Callithrix jacchus: one gene and its partners. The protein of the gene in region 3 interacts with the protein of the main gene of each other region in a pairwise test. Links are inferred from orthologs where the notes say so. Each region holds a gene or a part of one and is shown on either strand. Other genes may lie near its edges.

Region 1 (4,217 bases), on a different chromosome or scaffold from region 3:
CATGTTGGCCAGGCTGGTCTCTAACTCCTGACCTCAGGTGGTTCTCCCGCCTCGACCTCCCAAAGTGCTGGGATTACAGGCATGAGCCACCGCACCCAGCCTGTTTTTCTAAAAAAAAAAAAAAAAAAAAAAAGAATTCTGCCAGGCACAGTGGCTCACGCCTGTAATCCCAGCACTTTGGGAGGCAAAGGTGGGCAGATCACAAGGTCAAAAGATCAAGACCATCCTGGCCAACATGGTGAAACCCTGTCTCTACTAAAAATACAAATATTAGCTGGGTGTGGTGGTGCGGGCCTGTAGTCCCAGCTACTCAGGAGACTGAGGCAGGAGAATCGCTTGAACCCAGGAGGCGGAGGTTTCCATAAGCAGAGATTGCACCACTGCTCTCCAGCCTGGTGACAGAGCGAGACTCGGTCTCAAAAAAAAGAATTCCAGTAATGAGCTGATCATGGGTCTAACTCCTTGAATACCGGGAACAAACACCATGTCATATCACATAATGAGACAGGGAGACATTCTGATCCCCATCTCAGAGACAAAAAATGCCAAGGCTGGAAGGATCAAACTGCCCACCTTGTCACATGTTAGCCACGGGGCAGCCTGCCTTACTGATTCTTCATGAGCATTTATAGTGACTAGCATTTACTGAGCACCTATTATGTGCCATTTCTGTGCACCCAGCAACCCCTTTAAGTCCTTGTTTCTTTTTTTTTTCTTTTTGAGATGGAGTCTTGCTCTGTTACCCAGGCTGGAGTGCAATGGCACCATCTCAGCTCACTGCAACCTCAGTCTCCCAAGTTCAAGTGATTCTCCTGCCTCAGCCTCCTGAGTAGCTAGGATTACAGGCACCCACCATGCCCAGCTAATTTTTGTGTTTTTTGGTAGAGATGGGAGTTTCACCATATTGTTCAGGCTGGTCTTGAACTCCTGACCTCGTGATCAGCCTGCCTCGACCTCCCAAAGTGCCGGGATTACAGACGTGAGCCACCGCGCCCAGCCTTAAGTCATTGTTTCTAATCCCAAGAAGCAAGGAAATGGCGTCAGGGAAGGAACAAGGTTTGCCCAAGGTCAGGCAGGGGCAGAGGTCAAGCTCAGAACCCTCACCTGCCCAGAGCACGTGACCAGGACTCAGGCTCTCTAGGCTTCCTTCCAAAGGCTCAGCAGTGATGACCCAGCCCTTGAACCAGCCTCTACCCCTACCCAGGCAGCCACCTCTCAGGGGAATTGTGGCCACCGCAGGTGCAGGGAGCACTTCCTCTCTACTCATGGCCTGAAGCATACCCGGCAGGGGCTGTCCCCAGGCCCAACGAGCAAAGGACCCAGCAGCGAGGACCACTAGAGCCCATCTCCGGGGGGCTGGGCAGGAAATAGGGTGGGGTTTGGGTAGGGAGCTGGTACCCCAGGACTGCTGCAGCTCAAACTAACGCATCGACCGGGAGAAGATGCCTGGGGGTCTCGGAGTCCTCCAAGCTCTGCCTGCCTCCATATTCCTCCTCTTCCTGCTGTCTGCTGCCTACCTGGGTATGTGGCCAATGGGCAGGAACTGGGGGGAGGAGGGGGAAGCCGTGGAGGCTGCAGAGAGGGCACAGGCAGCGGGAAGGGGGCTCAGGAGAGGGGAATAGGAGGCAGAGAGCACAGAGCCAGGGAAGACACCTGTAGAAATCGGGTCTGTTCCATGCTGGGCAAAGATGCGGCTGGAGAGAGCCCAGCGAAGGAAAATGGGGGTCCAGAGCCCCACGGAGGGAGGCAGGAGCAAGCGTCACCTCCCCCACCTCCTGTAAAAGAAGGAACTAAAGCCGCTCTTGACTGAGCACCAGGGCTGCAGGCAGGAAGGGCAGTGGGGCTAGCAGCGTTCAGTGTCTGACAAGGGGAGAAAAACCTTTCTCTGCCTTAAACCTCAGGCGCCACCCTGTGTTGGGAGCCCCTTCTCAGCACTGGGGGATCTGATGCCTCATGGACCCCCCTTGCCCACCCAAGGCCAGCGCGTGGCCATGCTACCCCAGGAGCTCAGAGGTTTCTCGGTTTCTCAGGGTAACTGGAGTTCCCACCTGAGTCCTAAGCCCATGCCAACGAGGGTGCTTGGCCCCTCTCCCTACCTCTTCTTCCTTCTCTTTTCCCCACCTCCCTCCTCCGACTGCTTCCAGAAGAAGAGGCCGGCCATGTGGGTGGCCTGGCTGAGATCTGGGGCTTCCCAGAGGAGCCCCGGATTGGACGCTGCAGTCAGCCTGAGCCACCCCGACTCAGACACCCACAACCTCCACCCTGCTGAGGGCGTTCACTCACCACCAGCCCAGCCCAAGGACTGAACTCACCCCTGACCCTGAAGTTGAAACATACAAGTTACAGAGAATGAGGGACGGGCACAGGGTCACAGGCCAGGGCAGGCCACAGATAGGCTCCTCAGCCCAGGCAGGAAGAGGCCAGGGAGCCAGGAGTTTGAACCCAGTGCCACTCCTGATTGCCTGGTGATGCTGGCAACTCGCCTGCCCTCCCTGGGCCTCAGTCATCCCTCCCGTAAAGTGGGGTTAAGGAAAGAACCTACTGCTAGGGTTCTGTGAGGATTACCAAGAAAAAGCACCAGGTGCAGAGTCTCACTGAGGCTGGGGTGGGAAAATGGACTGGGAAGGCTGTGGGAGGAGGGGATGCCTGCCTGCTTCTGGAAAGAGCTGTCTGGACGCAGCCTCCAGTTCCTAGAACAAACATCCAAAAGCCAGTGAGTTCTCAGGCCAGAGCACAAAGTGGGTATGCAGGAGGGGGGCAGGAGATGGCACTGCAGAGGTGACAAGGGCCTCCCAGGGGTCTCACTATCCCAGAGAGTCTCATTCTCCTCCCCCAGGATGTCCTCACCCACCCCAACCCCTGTGTCCTCTCTCCTTTCCCAGGGGCATCTTCACTCTCCTGCATCCGCCTCTCCCCAAGATGCATCAGCCCCTCTCAGGGGCTCTCCCTCCTCCTCCAGACCCAGGAGAGTCCTCGCCCTCCTCCCCTCCCCCCATGAGTGTCCTCACCCTCCTCCCCACCCCTCCCAGGAGTGCTGGAGCTGTAAGGGCAGGGCTGCGGGCCTGTGTCGCCATGCCCAGTCCCTGACCCACCTACCCTGCCTCTCCGCAGGCCCTGGGTGCCAGGCCCTGTGGGTGCACAAGGGCCCAACATCGTTGATGGCAAGCCTGGGGGAAGAGGCCCACCTACAGTGCCTTCACAATGGCAGTAACACCAACGTCACCTGGTGGCGTGTCCTCCACGGCAACTACACGTGGCCCCCGGTGTTCGTCGGCCTGGGCCAGGGTGTCAACGGTACGCTGACCATCCAGAACGTGAACAAGAGCCACGGAGGCATATACATGTGCCGTGTCCAGGAGGGCAACAAGCCATACCAGCAGTCCTGCGGCACCTACCTCCGCGTGCGCCGTGAGTGGCCTGGCCCTGGCCCCTACCCCCACTCTCCCGCTGGGGACACTCAGTTTATCTTTGAAGTGTGGAGGGGATATACCCAGTACCTTCTTTGTGGGTTTCAAACTGGCTCGGACGAGGGACTGACGATCTCCTCTGCAGAGTGGGGATTTCGGGGGGCCCGGGGCCTTGCAGAGGTTGGGCAGATGTGCCAGGGCTTTAAGCTTCCTACCTCCTTGCAGACCCGCCCCCCAGGCCCTTCCTGGACATGGGGGAGGGCACCAAGAACCGCATCATCACAGCCGAGGGGATTATCCTCCTGTTCTGCGCAGTGGTGCCTGGAACGCTGCTGCTGTTCAGGGTGAGTCTGCTGGGACCCCCGAGTTGGCGGGTAAGGGCCTGGGCTGAAGGACTCCCAATGCCCAGGTGGCCCTCTAGAGCCTAAAGTTCTCCATCCAAAACTTGGAAGAAGAAAGCACCCATTGCACAGGAGCTGTGGAAGTTAAATGAATGAATATAAAGAAGGGACTTGGGCCGGACATGGTGGCTCACACCTGTAATCCCAACACACTGGGAGGCCAAGGCGGAAGGATCACTTGTGGTCAGGGGTTCGAGACTAGCCTGAACAATATGGCGAAACCCCGTCTCTACTAAAAAAAATTCAAAAATAACCGGGTGTGGTGGCGGGTGCTTGTAATCCCAGCTACTCCAGAGGCTAAGGCAGGAGAATTGCTTGAACACAGGAGGCAGAGGTTGCGGTGAGCCGAGATTGTGCTATTACACTCCGGCCTGGAGGACAAGAACAATACTCTATCTCAAAAAAAAAA
Region 2 (4,208 bases), on a different chromosome or scaffold from region 3:
TCTCGGGATGCTAAAGACAGGCAATTCCGGCACACCAGGATAAATGGGTCACCCCAGCCCTGGAGCTCAGGCTTCACTCGCTCTGCCCTGCGGTGTGAGGGCCAAGAGCAGGCACCAGCTGCATCCCCCGCAGCTCCTGATGTGTTAAAACGGCTCAGCACGCCACACAGTTTTGAAAAGACCAGAAGGAGACACAGCCCCGTGTTCACTGCAGCCCTCCCTATCATGCGGTGGTATCACATGATCACCACTCCCCACCAAACTTTTTCTGTTGTGGTAAAATACACGTCGCATCAAATTTACCATCTTCACCATTTCGGTGGTGGTAAGTCGGTTCCTACTGCGTGACCACCACACGTGATTTTTATACTTTCCAATGACTGGCAGGTATTACTTTGATCAGGGGAAAAAAAAAAAAAAAGCTGTTTTTGAAGGTGTTAATCAGCCTGTATCAGACACCTCTTGGTCCAGCAAAGGTAGTGAGCACCTCGTATCCACCTGTGTGAGCGGGGCTGGAGGCCGTGCAGTTGACTGAACATTGGTTGGCCCAGGTGACCTTTGTGTCCTTTCCAATCCTGACATTCCACGATTCCAGACTCTTCCCTGCCCCCGGGGGGAGCACTATGCTTTGGAGACAGGAAGGCCTGGGCTCAAATGCTCTTCTGCCACTTACATGCTCAGTGACCTTGGGCCAGGCACTTGGCCTCCCTGAACCTCAGTTTCCTCTAGTGTTGGGGAGCCAGCTGGGTGGCTGTGTGTGGTCCTGCACCCCATGGGTGCTCAGAGGGGCTGATCCTCCTCTTTCCCATCCTCGCCCCTGGATGTGCACATGTGTAAACCCTCATCCCACCAGCCCCAATCTGACACCACCTTCTCAATGGAGCTTGATTCCACAGCAGGGAGACGCCTCTCCTGGCTCTTGTGGCTTCTGCCTAGTGGCACCTGGCTTACTCCCCAGGGGGACTGTGGGCTCCCTGAGAACAAGGCCTGCTTCTGAGTCATGCTGCCTTCCCTTAGAGCCCAAAAGAGTCAATAAACTAAATGAAACCATCACTGGCAGAAATGACCCAAGCAGACAGAATGCCCACGCCCCCTCACAAAGCCAGTGGCTTCGCCCTTCCAGACCAGAGCCCCAGGGGTGGGCAGGAGCAGTGAACACACCTTGCCCACCTGATCTGGCAGGTGCCCCCCAGGGCTCCCACCTTTGTCAAGAGCCTGTCAGGGCATCTGGGGAGCAGGAGACTGGGACAGATAAATGAATTCAGAGCCACAAACACTTACAGATGTGCTGGGGTGCCAGGCTCTGTGCAGGCACTGGGGAAGGTGGTGTCAGGAATTGGGCTTTCCTGCCCACAAAGGGCTCCCATCTGACAGCATTTGAGAAGAAAAGGCTTCAAATGGGGTCATTCTTGGCAGGCTGGGGATACATACCCAAGCCATCCTACCAACCAGACCTTGAAAACCGAGGAAAGGAGGAAGCTTGAACATGCTGAGGTGGCAGCTGGCCTTGGATGTAGCCCCTGGGGTACCTGACAGTGCCCTGCCCAGCATTGCCAATCCAAGCCCTTCTAGTCTGAGCCCACCAGGAATGGGCCCTAGACCTGCAGAGGCCAGAACCTCGGGTGGGGGTATCTAGGTTACAGCCAGCCAACCCCAGGGAGCCCTGGGCACCCCCTCTCCAGACCCCAGCAGGCACGCTTTCCATGGGGTGCCACTCAAGGCACCTGAACTCCTCCCTCTGTGCTCACTGTCTCTGTCCAATCCCCCCCCACCAGTATGAACATGAGCCCCACTCAGCCCTTTGCACTGGGGACCCTGCCCCCCAGCTAGGCTGGAGGACACCCTGGCCTCTTCACTGTCAGAGGAGACCTTTCTCCCAGACACCTGCGGTGGGCATCCAGGTGTATGCTGAGTGGGAGGGGTGTTACGGGTTAATGAAATGTCAGAGCCCAAGGGGGGCCTCAAGAAGGCTCCTCCCACCTTGTCTATAAATTGGGAAACTGAGGCGTGATAGACGAGATGACACTCCCCACCTCGGAATTGAAGTCCTCATTTCTCGAGAACATTTCCTTGGTGGTTCCCAGACCAAGGTCACGCCGAGAAGGAGAGGCAGTTCCTGGGTGGAAGAGAGGCATCCGGCTCCCGACTCAGCTCCACACAGGCCGGGCTAGGCAACACGAACCCGGTTCCCTGCCCTCTCCTCCTCCAACGTCCATCGCAGGCGCGGCAGGCACCCCAGCGAGACGGTCTACGCCCTGATCCACCCACCCCAAAAGGCCACCTTAAACCCCGGCTCCGTCCCCTCGGTCTAGAGTCCGCCGCGGCGGCAGCACACAACCCGAGCCTCTAGCTGCACAGCCGCGGCCTGGAGGTCACAGCGATCCGGGCGGGAAGTGGGGCGCACGAACCGGGGACCCCAGGAAACCAGGGCTCCGGGAGCGGCAGAGGCGCCCTCCGCGAGCGCCAGGGCCTCCACCCGCCCGGAGCCCCCGCAGGAGGAGCGGCGGCAGCGGGCCCCAGGGGCAGGACAGCTCCTCGCCCGTTGCCGCGCCAACGCCAGGGGCCCGGTGGGGTCGGGGTCCGTCCGGGCGTGTCGCCCTTGCCCACACCTCCACCCCGGCCTGGCGGAGCCGCCGGCCGGTCCTTACCCAAGACACGACGCGCAAGATGGTGTGCGGCTGTCGGACCAGGGTGTAGGGGTCGAAGGCGCCCCCGGCTTTGCCAGCTCCGTACGCACCCCCTTCCATCGTGGCTGCACCCGCGCGGTGCCCCCCGCTCGGCGCGCGCCGCCGACCAATGCGCGTGCGCGGCGCCCCCGCCCCCTCCCCTGCGCGCGCGGCCGGCGGCCCAGGGCTCCCGCGAGGGGGCGTTGTGCGCGCCGGGCGCAGCTCTCGGGGCGCGGGCGGGGTGCAGGGCGGCGCGCGACCTCGGGCGCGGGGACGCGCGTGCTGCGGCCCGGGGCGGAGGGCGCGCTCTTCGCCAGTGCGGTGACCTCTTTGCAAAGTGTAGGGGGAGGGCGGTGCGTGTGCAGCAAGTGCGGGCCGTGTCCCTGCCCCTCATCCCCGGTCCCCTGTCTGGGATCCCCGGTCCCCTTTTCCCGGTCGCAGCCCCTCCAAGCCATCGGCTCTGCTGAAACCATCTTCATGCTTGATTTGTTTGACTGTTTCCTGTCGCTTTGACGGCCCCAAATATAATGAGAGGGCAGAAGCCGTGTTCGTCCTCCTTAGAGGGTGCTTGGTACACAGTATACGCCGCATGAATATTTCTCGAATGAATGAATGAACCACGAGTGAATGACCCTCTCTTAGAGCCCTCCAGAGCAGCCCCCACCTCTCAGGACTACCTTTCCCCGCGCTCTTACGATGACGTCATGTGTGTCCCTGTGCCTGCTCACCCTCCCACCCCCCAGCCTGGAGGGGCCTGGCACAGAGGCGGCAGCTGAGACTTCCTCTTCCCCATTACCTCCCACCCCAGGACGTTGTCCCTTTCCTGAATCCAGCAACTAATTACGCAGTCGTTTGTTTGTGGGCCCTTGCTCTGCTTGTCTGTGAGCTCTGAGCACCCAAGTGTTGTCTAATTTATTCAATTCCTTACCCAAGGGCCTGGCATACAGTAGGTGCTCATTAAATAGAGCCTAGTCTCCATCACCCATCACAGCTTGGGCTAGAGCTCCAGGTTTCATGGAAAGGCGGCTGGATGGAGGAGTGCTCCCTGCAGTGGAAGGGCCACCTTCCAGGGCTGGGTCTCCTGCTGCCCTGTACCTCTACAGCCTCTCTGTGTCTGTAGTTACCTGCACTGGTTCCAGGAGCAGGTTGGATGAGGTATGTGTGGAGGCTTTTGCTTCTCTGGTATCCTGCCATTCCGTGATGACAGCGCACAACTTCTGTGCGGAGGAAATGTGCGCTGGGCCTGAGGGTGCCCCTGATAAACATTACAAGGGCAAATGTCCATCTTAGGCTCAGTTGATTGCTTAGTCTTTACCAGGCCTTGTGCTAAGGGCTTTACATACATTTCTTTCTTTTCTTCTTTTTTTTTTGAGAAGGAGTTTCGCTCTTGTTGCTCAGGCTGGAGTGAAATGGCGTGATTTTGGCTCACTGCAACCTCTGTCTCCCACGTTTAAGCAATTCTCCTGCCTCAGCCTCCCAAGTAGCTGGGATTACAGGCACGTGCCATCACGCATGGCTAATTTTGTATTTTTAGTAGAGATG
Region 3 (4,304 bases):
CCACTGAACTGAGCACCCTCCACAGTTTCTCTGCTTCCAAGGTGGCCCTCCAGAAAGCTCAAATTTCATTGCAGCTGCTCCACTGGAGCTGAGAAGGGCTTCTTTGGGGCCCCCAGGAATGCAGGCAGGGACTACATCAGCTCTGCTTCCCAAGAGCTCGGCCCCAGCACTGGACAGGTGAGATGGGGGCAGGGGGCAGTCAGTCTCAGACCAAGCAGCCCTATCTCAGCTAGTCCTGGCCCCTTCTTCTCTGTTTCCCTCCCTCCCTCCCTTTCTACCTATCTCCCTTCCTCCCTTCCTCCCTCCCTCTTTTCCTCCTTTCTTCCACCTCTTCCTCCCACTTGGCCCAGGGACTCTGGGGGAAGAGGAGGCTATTTGGAAAAGGAACCAGGACAGGTTTATAAAGGATTCCTTTTACAAATAGCCTCCTATTACCCCAGGGGCTCTGGGGTTGTTTCCTAAATGAAGGGTTCAGCATTGGTGGTTGTAGCAATCAGGGTTTTCAGAGAAACAGAGCTGATAGGATATATGTATGTATGTATGTATGTATGTATGTATGTATGTATGTATCTACATATGCACAAATATAGAGAAATTTATTTTAAGAAATTGGCTTATGTGACTGTGGGCCTCACAAGTCTGAAATGTACAGGACAGGCCGGCAGGCAGGAGACTCAGGCAAGAGTTGACCCTGCAGTCTTGGGGTTGAAATGCCTCTTCTCTGGAAACCTCAGTCTTTGCTCTTCAGGCCTCTCAGTTGATTGCGTGAGACCCACCCACATCATCGAGGATGAGTCTCTACTTTATTTCAAGTCCACTGGTTGTAGATGCCAATCACAGCTACAAATTGCCTCATCAGCAACACCTACACGGTGTTTGATGGAATCACCAGGGGCAAGTGCCTGGCCCAGGTGACTCATAAACCTGACCATCACAGTGGTCTAGTCAGTAGGTAAGCTGAGGGAGAATTGGAACTTAGAAGGTGCAGGGCCTGAGGCCCTTGGGGTTCTAGTGGCTGCAGTCAGGTCACACCTCTTTCACCCTTCCCTCCTTTGGTTCTCATGGCTCCTGCCTAGGCTGACCGACTTCAGAAAAAGGCTGCCTCCTGTGTTTGGGGACTCTGGATATGGGAGGTAGGATATGCTCTCCAGAGAATCCCTTTTGAAGGCATGGTATGGCCTGGATTGCTAGGACCTAACTCTGCTGTGGCCACTGTGTGGCTCTTGGACCCTGTGCCAATCCTTGCATCTGCCTAGAAATGATGATGGGATCCCCCATGAGCTAAATCTGGAGATCCATGAGCCAGAGCAGTTCTCACAGGCAAAAGCTTGGAGTTGTATCTCTTCTAAGCTGCTTACAGAGTTGCAGGGGAGAACGCCATGGACCCAACCAATTAGATACAATGGGAACAGAAGGTACTCAGTCCAAGGCCTCAGCCTAGAGAGGGAGTGTCACTCCACCCCCAGGTCCTACTATATCTTCCTTGAGCTCCTGTCCCTGGAAGAGGCGATTTTCTGAGTGTGACTCCTCTGTTTCTGGCACCCTGCACATTTTTAGCCATTGCTTACAAGTGAACAGCTGGTTATGATGGCAGGAGGCCCTATCAGCACCAGGGAGGAGGTAGAAATATCCCTGGCTGAAGAACTGAATCATGGAAGCCAAGGGCAAAACCAAGAGCACCTGGGGATAGCAGGTGAGGATCCTCTAAAATACCACTTGGCTATAGCCAACTCTGTAGATACGTGTCTATACCTGTGCATGTGTGTGTTGGAAAAGGTGCATGTGTGCAAGGAAGTGTTTGCACATGTGTGTGTTGGGGAGCTTCGAGGATTTGTGGGTTGATGATAAGGGAGGTAGGGAAAAGGGAGCATTTTTCCTACTGTCTCCCACTTGTCCAAGCCACCACCATGTCTGTTGCAAAATACTCAGAGAGCTCAAATTACAAGATCAGAGATCAATTCTCTCTCCCAATGCTCTAATTCATTTCCCTGCCCTTCAGAGGAAAGTCCAAACTCCACAGTCTATAAGATAGTATCAGCCTCCTCAAAACATTTCATGCTATGATATAGACAGAAAATATCATTTCTATAGCTCACAAAAGGGCCAAGATCACACTGCATTTATGTTTGTTATTACAATGCTGCAAGCGTGCTTATTCCCCAAAGACCTTGCATTTGCTGTTTCTTCTGTCTGGAATGTGCTTTCCCTCAATTTCCCAGGGCTGGGTCCTTTATTTCTTTCAGGTCCCTGCTTCAGTTTTTGTCTCCTACTTTTTAGAGGGAGCCCTTTCCTTCTACTATGTTACCATGTTTTGATCGTTTATGGAGCCTGTGTCTCTCTGTCTGCATTTGCGAGGATAGATTACTTTCTGCTGTACACCTGTCATTCCCCCTTATACACAAACAGATGGTCAGTTCTTTGAGAGCTGGAATCTTGTTCTTGATCATTGCTTTCTAAGTGAATAGAGAGTAACCTAGTCTCGAGCTCAGCCATCAGGAAATGCTTGATTAACTTTTGAACAAATGAACAAACTGAGGCCTGGGATCAGCTGGTGGATAGTGTTGAACGGGTGTTGAGTGATTCCCGAGAAGGCTGTGGCCTCTGCCTTCTTTTATGCTGTGTTTCGTGTCCAAAAAGCCCTGGTATAACTTCTGTGGGTGCTCCTGAGGCCTCTGTTCTTCTCTCTAGAAGTGATGGATCATAGATCTCGGTCCCTCAGTGTCCCCCAGAAGAGGCAGAAGGTGGAATCAAAAGCTGCAGGCTCTGCTGAAGCCAAACCAGTTTGGAATATGACTGCCACCCGGCCCAAGAAAATGGTACTGTATGGGGTCCTCAGCATAAGGTGGCCAGGTTGGGATTGGGAGTACTGTTTGTAGGGGCTCTTGCCTCACCAGGTCAGTCAGGGCTAGACATTGACTTGGGAGGAAGAGAAAGCTCCTGTGTTCCGAGCTGGCAAATGAGGAAAGGAAGGTCCAGTTAAAGGTCACGGTCATCCTTTCCTATACTAGAGGTTCAACCTTGGGAGTTCGGAATTCTTGAAACAAATATTGCTTAGGGAGTAAATAAATACTTTACTTTGTAAATCTATTGCGTGAAATAATGCTTTCCTGTATTTAAAATTATGTGTGTGGTACACGTGTGTGTATACACACAATAAGTCAGGTGAGGCTCCTATCCTTTCTGGCTGTTAAGAAATCCAGTCAAGTGGCCTGGCATGGTGACTCATGCCTGTAATCCCAGCACTCTGAGAGGAGGAGATGGGCAGATCACTTGAGGCCAGGAGTTCGAGACCAGTCTGGCCAGTATGGTGAAACCCCCATCTCTATTAAAAATAAAAAAATTAGCTGGGCATGGTGGCACATGCCTGTAATCCCAGCTACTCAGGAGGCTGAGGCATGAGAATCGCTTGAACTCAGGAGGCAGAGGTTGCAATGAGCCAAAATCATGCTACTGCACTCCAGCCTGGGCAACAGAGAGAGACTCTGTAAAAAGAAAGAAGGGGGTGGGGGAGAGAGAGAGAGAGAGAAGAAGCAAGGAAGAAAGGAAGAAATCCAGTGAAGTGAATCTGACAATTTTGTAGCCAATGCTTTTAAGCTACATTCAATATGGGTGAAGAAATATTCTAGAACAAATAGTGGCTATACTGCTGCAAATGATATTGAGAAAAACAGTCATTTTGGAGGGAGAGGGAATTCTGACTCTTCTGGAGAATTAGGTGAGTTCCACAGTTCTGTAGCCAATCCTTTTAGCTAGCTACATTCACTGTGGGTAAGGGAAAGTTTTAGAAAAATTGATATGCTGTTGCAAAGGCTGCTGGGAAAAGGCAACAGGATTGGAGAGGGAGGGAGGACTGACTGCTCCAGGAAATAATGTGAGTCCCACGGTTCTGTGGCCAATTCTTTAAGCTACATTCACTGTGGATGTTGAATGTTCTAGAAAGATGCTGGCCACATTGTCGCAAAGGATACTGAAAAAGGCATTTATTTTGGAGAGAAGGGAGACCTGACTGCTTTAGGGAATCACAAATCCCATCTTTCTGTAGCCAATGCTTTTCACCACATTCAGGTTGGTGAGGAAAAATTAATAAAATTTTAGAAAATGGTGGTTTTTACTGTTACCACAGAAAAGTTTGGAAGTTACTGGGAAAGGGAGGGAGACTTGATTGCTGAAATGATTTGTTGGATGGCCCCAGGGAAGATTGAGAAAAAAGGCTTCCAGGTTTAAAGATTTCCTGGGAATAAAAATAGGTCAGATGTTGATCTGGCTTCCTGTGTCCAAAGACAGAAGCCAAATCAAGCTGCCCA
Region 4 (3,933 bases), on a different chromosome or scaffold from region 3:
GTCACAGAAGAACTGATGTACAGATCTAATGATGTAACAAATAAGTTAGCACTCCATAATCTGTCAAGTTATAAATGTTAAATATTGCTTTATTGTGAGCTCTTATACTCATGGAGGCTTTATGAATGAGGTAAACATGTTACAGTCGAGCCTTGATGATTTAGCAGGGGATTGGAAGAAATGTATTTCAGAAAGAAAAGCCACAGTGATGAGGCCAAACATGCCTTTTCTGAAGATAAGAAAGTAGTCTCTCAATCCACATGCAGGCACTTTAGCATTAGTACTTCCACTGTTACTAAGTATAGACTTTATTTACTCTGACATCTTAAAACAACCCTCCATCCCCACAACCTAACTGAACCATTAAGTGTAAAGTAAATTGCTAAGTCAGTGTGCTCCAAATTCCTTTAGTCCACCAATACATACCACAGCATCAAACCGGTTATGATAAAGTTCTGCCTGGCTCTGCTCAATGTATCGTTGTTTAGCATTAACAAAACCTGGTACTCCTCCATACACCATGCCAAAGACGCCTGCTGTCAATGCCGCCTTACAGATATCAGCAAGTTCTTTTGAAAGTTTCTGCTGTTCACTACAACATCAAAAAGACAATGTTGTTTGGAATTAATTTATGGACATTGCTCTCCAAAAACTCTATAATCAGAATTATCCCAAATGCTAACACTGCATTTTTCATCATAGGCAGAATCCACAGATGAATGAAACAGTTGAGTTATAGTAAAAGGAACATAAGTCTCAGGCAAAACTAAGCTATGCTGTTAGAATTAGGATAGTGGCAACTCCTGAAAAGACAATGACTGGAAAAGGCACAAGGGGAGCTTTTGGGATGTTATAACAGTTGCCATTTCTTCCTGAGTGCTGGGTATAGCTATGTTCGCTTTGTGAAAATTCATTCATCAGTATACTTATAAACATTTTTTCAAATGCATTTCCTACTCCAATAAAAAGTTTTTTTAAAGGTGTTTTTATTTGATGACTATTACACCTATATATTACCCCAATAAACGGGAAAAATTTGTGAGTTGGATAGAGAGACCAATATTTCCCTGTTTAAATTTTAAGCTAACTTTTAGAAATCACACCAACTGGTGACATTTTAGGGCAATGTATGAAAGAATAAAAACGTGGATGTAAGGCAAAAAATCTAAACTCTATATTACTAAATAATTTCATGAAATATTCTGATGGGGTATATTAATAAAAGCATTGGGCTGGGCACAGTGTCACATGCCTGTAGTCACAACTACTTAGGAGGCTTATGCAGGACTTGAGCCCAAGAGTTCAGGTCCAGCATAGCAACACAGCAAAGATCCTGGCTCTAAAAATATAAACAAATGCTTTTTAAAAGACGCACAGGAAAAGTTCACTATGCAGTGGGTGGCACATGCCAATCTAAAGTAACAAGGAAAAGCTACAATTTAATTCAATTTATTACTGTCAAATGCATAAGAAGCTAGAACTGCTAATGGAGCTTCCAAGATGTCATCCTGAAACTGATCTAACAAATAGCTGTCTGAAGTATTAAGTTACTATAAAATAATTGCCCTTCTAGGCCGGACGCAGTCCAGCTGCGATGGCTCACGCCTGTAATCCCAGCACTTCGGGAGGTGGAAGCAGGTAGATTATTTGAGGTCAGGAGTTCGAGTCCAGCGTGGCGAATGTGGTGAAGCCTGTCTCTACTAAAAATACAAAACTTAGCAGGGCGTGGTGGTGGGCACCTGCAATCCCAGCTACTAGGGAGGCTGAGGCAGGAGAATCGCTTGAACCCGGAGATGGAGGCTGCAGTGAGCTGAGATCGAGCCACTGCACTCCAGTCTGGGTGATAGAGACTTGATCTCAAAAAAATCAAAAATAAAAAAGGTACAAGTTTGGGCCGACTCGGTGGCTGACGCCTGTAATCCCAGCACTTTGGGAGGCCAAGGCTGGAGGATTACCTAAGCCCAAGAGTTCAAAACCAGTCTGGCCTACAAGGCACGAACCCTGTCTACAAAAAATATATTTTAAAAAGTTAGCCGGGCGTGGTGGCCCACGCCAGTAGTCCTGGTTACTCTGGAGGTTGGGGTGGGAGGTTCACTCGAGTCTGAGAGGCAAAGGTTGCAGTGAGCAGAGATCGCACCACAGCACTCCAACCTGGGCGACAGAGCAAGACCCTGTCTAAAAAAAAAAAAGAAAAAAAAAAAGACATAAGCTTGGGTTACAATGATCAGAACCCCAAATATAATTTTAAAATGAAACACACTATCCTTGGCGTCCTAAGGCTGACACAGGCTGCCAAGGCTTAAGGACATCGCTTTCGCGGTCCCCCACCCCACCTCAGGCCCTAGGCACTTTTACTCTTTGAGAAACAGCTCCCGGAGGCGGTCCCAGCCGGATTCCGGGTAATGGGGCTCTGGGACGAAGGCAGGCGGCCACTGACGCTCCTCAAGGGCCTCCGAATCAGCAGTCACAGGTTCGGCAGCAAAGACTCGGGGGAAAGGACCCAATGCTCTACAGAGGAAGCTCCGCGATGCCGGTGGCGGCACCTCCATGGCCTTCTCTCGACCTACAGACAGACACGGTGGCGGCACGTCCATGGCCTTCTCTCGACCTACAGTCACACGTGGGCGCTCAGGACTTCAAGTCCTCCCGGACTTGCCGTGGGAGAGCGTACAGTACAAGGTGAGAACCCGTGCATTTGGACAAGGCTAACCCTGGGCCGGACAACTCGACACACACGACTTCAGTCCCGGGCCTGACTTCGGAGTCCTTGTAAACATGAGAGAGGAAGTCCCGCCCGACCGGGGCAAAGGTCAGAGGGCACGGCGACGGCAAAACCGGAGCCCAAAACACTTCCGGTTGAGGGCGGGTAGTGCCCCTGCTGTGCTGAGTCCACCCCCGGAAGTGAGTTGGCTGCTGGAGGTGAAGCTCAGTGTGATCCGGCCAGGTCTTTGCTCCGTGTCTCAGTGGCTCCTGGGTCATACAAACGGAGTCTGCGGCTGGTTACGTTCAGCTCGAGGTGGTAACAGGTTAAAGTAATTTATCGTATTTAAAATGCCAGGAATCCCGCTTAAATGAGGAAGAAAGTGCAATATTCAAGTGCAAGTGGGGTACAGAAAGAGGGAAAGGCGATTTGTGCAAAAACAAGTCCAACCTACTCTGCCGACATTCGAGAAGCCTTCCACACTGGGCGGGGTCCGTTTGTACCTTGTCGGTTTTCTTTCCTAAAAAAACGAGCCATTGGAAATGGGTCTTGGTGCCAGTTACACCAAGATTTCGAGAACACTTTTTTGAAGAATCAGTTTTTTGGCAGGTCTTCATAAGGTAGATTTCACTCCCTTTAGTTCATATGTGTGTACTGCTTCTCAAAAGGCAGGAAAATTTCTGGAATTTCTATCAAGTATTTGATAGTCCAGCAATAATTTCCTGTCACTACCTCTGCAAACATATGCTTCGAAGTATAGTTTTCATTAAAATGAATGCATCTTAAATATTCTCAATATTTGTGTAATTTCATTTAATCCTTGTTAAGAAGCATACTCCCTTACTCACTGGCAATCCCGTCACCTCCTTTATTCCTTTCTAGTTGTAAATCATAATTGCCACACTGTAGTAGTAGTAGTAGTGTGGTAGTGTACAGTAAGTAGACTTACGGAGTTTGATAGCTGGAAATTCTACACATAAGTCCCCAAGAAGTGACTGACTAGAATGACCAGCTGAATTAGTGACAGCTCCATGAAAACTACTCTGGGAGACAAGATTTGATTCAGCACCCATCGTAGCACTTACTATACTGCATCATAATTTCCTATTTGTTAATCTGTCTCAATAAACTATCCTTGAGGTCAGATACCAAATATATTCATCTCTGTACCTCCAGGACCTAGAACCGTAGTAGGTGCTCAGTAAGTATTTGTCGAATGAATAATTCAGATC

The links. The genes of interacting proteins can lie anywhere in the genome.
Region 1: the proteins of FATE1 (region 3) and CD79A interact in binary tests that used the Homo sapiens proteins (3 or more experiments, as listed by UniProt). The two-hybrid records come from large-scale screens. The link is inferred for Callithrix jacchus from reciprocal best matches to the Homo sapiens genes FATE1 and CD79A.
Region 2: the proteins of FATE1 (region 3) and SYNGR1 interact in binary tests that used the Homo sapiens proteins (3 or more experiments, as listed by UniProt). The two-hybrid records come from large-scale screens. The link is inferred for Callithrix jacchus from reciprocal best matches to the Homo sapiens genes FATE1 and SYNGR1.
Region 4: the proteins of FATE1 (region 3) and TIMMDC1 interact in binary tests that used the Homo sapiens proteins (3 or more experiments, as listed by UniProt). The two-hybrid records come from large-scale screens. The link is inferred for Callithrix jacchus from reciprocal best matches to the Homo sapiens genes FATE1 and TIMMDC1.

Annotation. Positions count from the first base shown.
Region 1 is NC_133523.1:36,904,967-36,909,183, forward strand, and holds the start of CD79A (B-cell antigen receptor complex-associated protein alpha chain), read left to right. Parts: upstream 1-1,417; 5' UTR 1,418-1,442; coding exon 1,443-1,521; intron 1,522-3,111; coding exon 3,112-3,408; intron 3,409-3,632; coding exon 3,633-3,751; intron 3,752-4,217. UniProt on the Homo sapiens protein: Required in cooperation with CD79B for initiation of the signal transduction cascade activated by binding of antigen to the B-cell antigen receptor complex (BCR) which leads to internalization of the complex, trafficking to late endosomes and antigen presentation.
Region 2 is NC_133502.1:210,152,042-210,156,249, reverse strand, and holds the start of SYNGR1 (synaptogyrin-1), read right to left. Parts: upstream 2,801-4,208; 5' UTR 2,748-2,800; coding exon 2,649-2,747; intron 1-2,648. UniProt on the Homo sapiens protein: May play a role in regulated exocytosis. Modulates the localization of synaptophysin/SYP into synaptic-like microvesicles and may therefore play a role in synaptic-like microvesicle formation and/or maturation.
Region 3 is NC_133524.1:148,013,278-148,017,581, forward strand, and holds the start of FATE1 (fetal and adult testis-expressed transcript protein), read left to right. Parts: upstream 1-1,502; 5' UTR 1,503-1,584; coding exon 1,585-1,693; intron 1,694-2,688; coding exon 2,689-2,816; intron 2,817-4,304. UniProt on the Homo sapiens protein: Involved in the regulation of endoplasmic reticulum (ER)-mitochondria coupling. Negatively regulates the ER-mitochondria distance and Ca(2+) transfer from ER to mitochondria possibly implicating it in the regulation of apoptosis.
Region 4 is NC_133516.1:83,304,063-83,307,995, forward strand, and holds the start of TIMMDC1 (complex I assembly factor TIMMDC1, mitochondrial), read right to left. Parts: upstream 2,801-3,933; 5' UTR 2,595-2,800; coding exon 2,356-2,594; intron 593-2,355; coding exon 427-592; intron 1-426.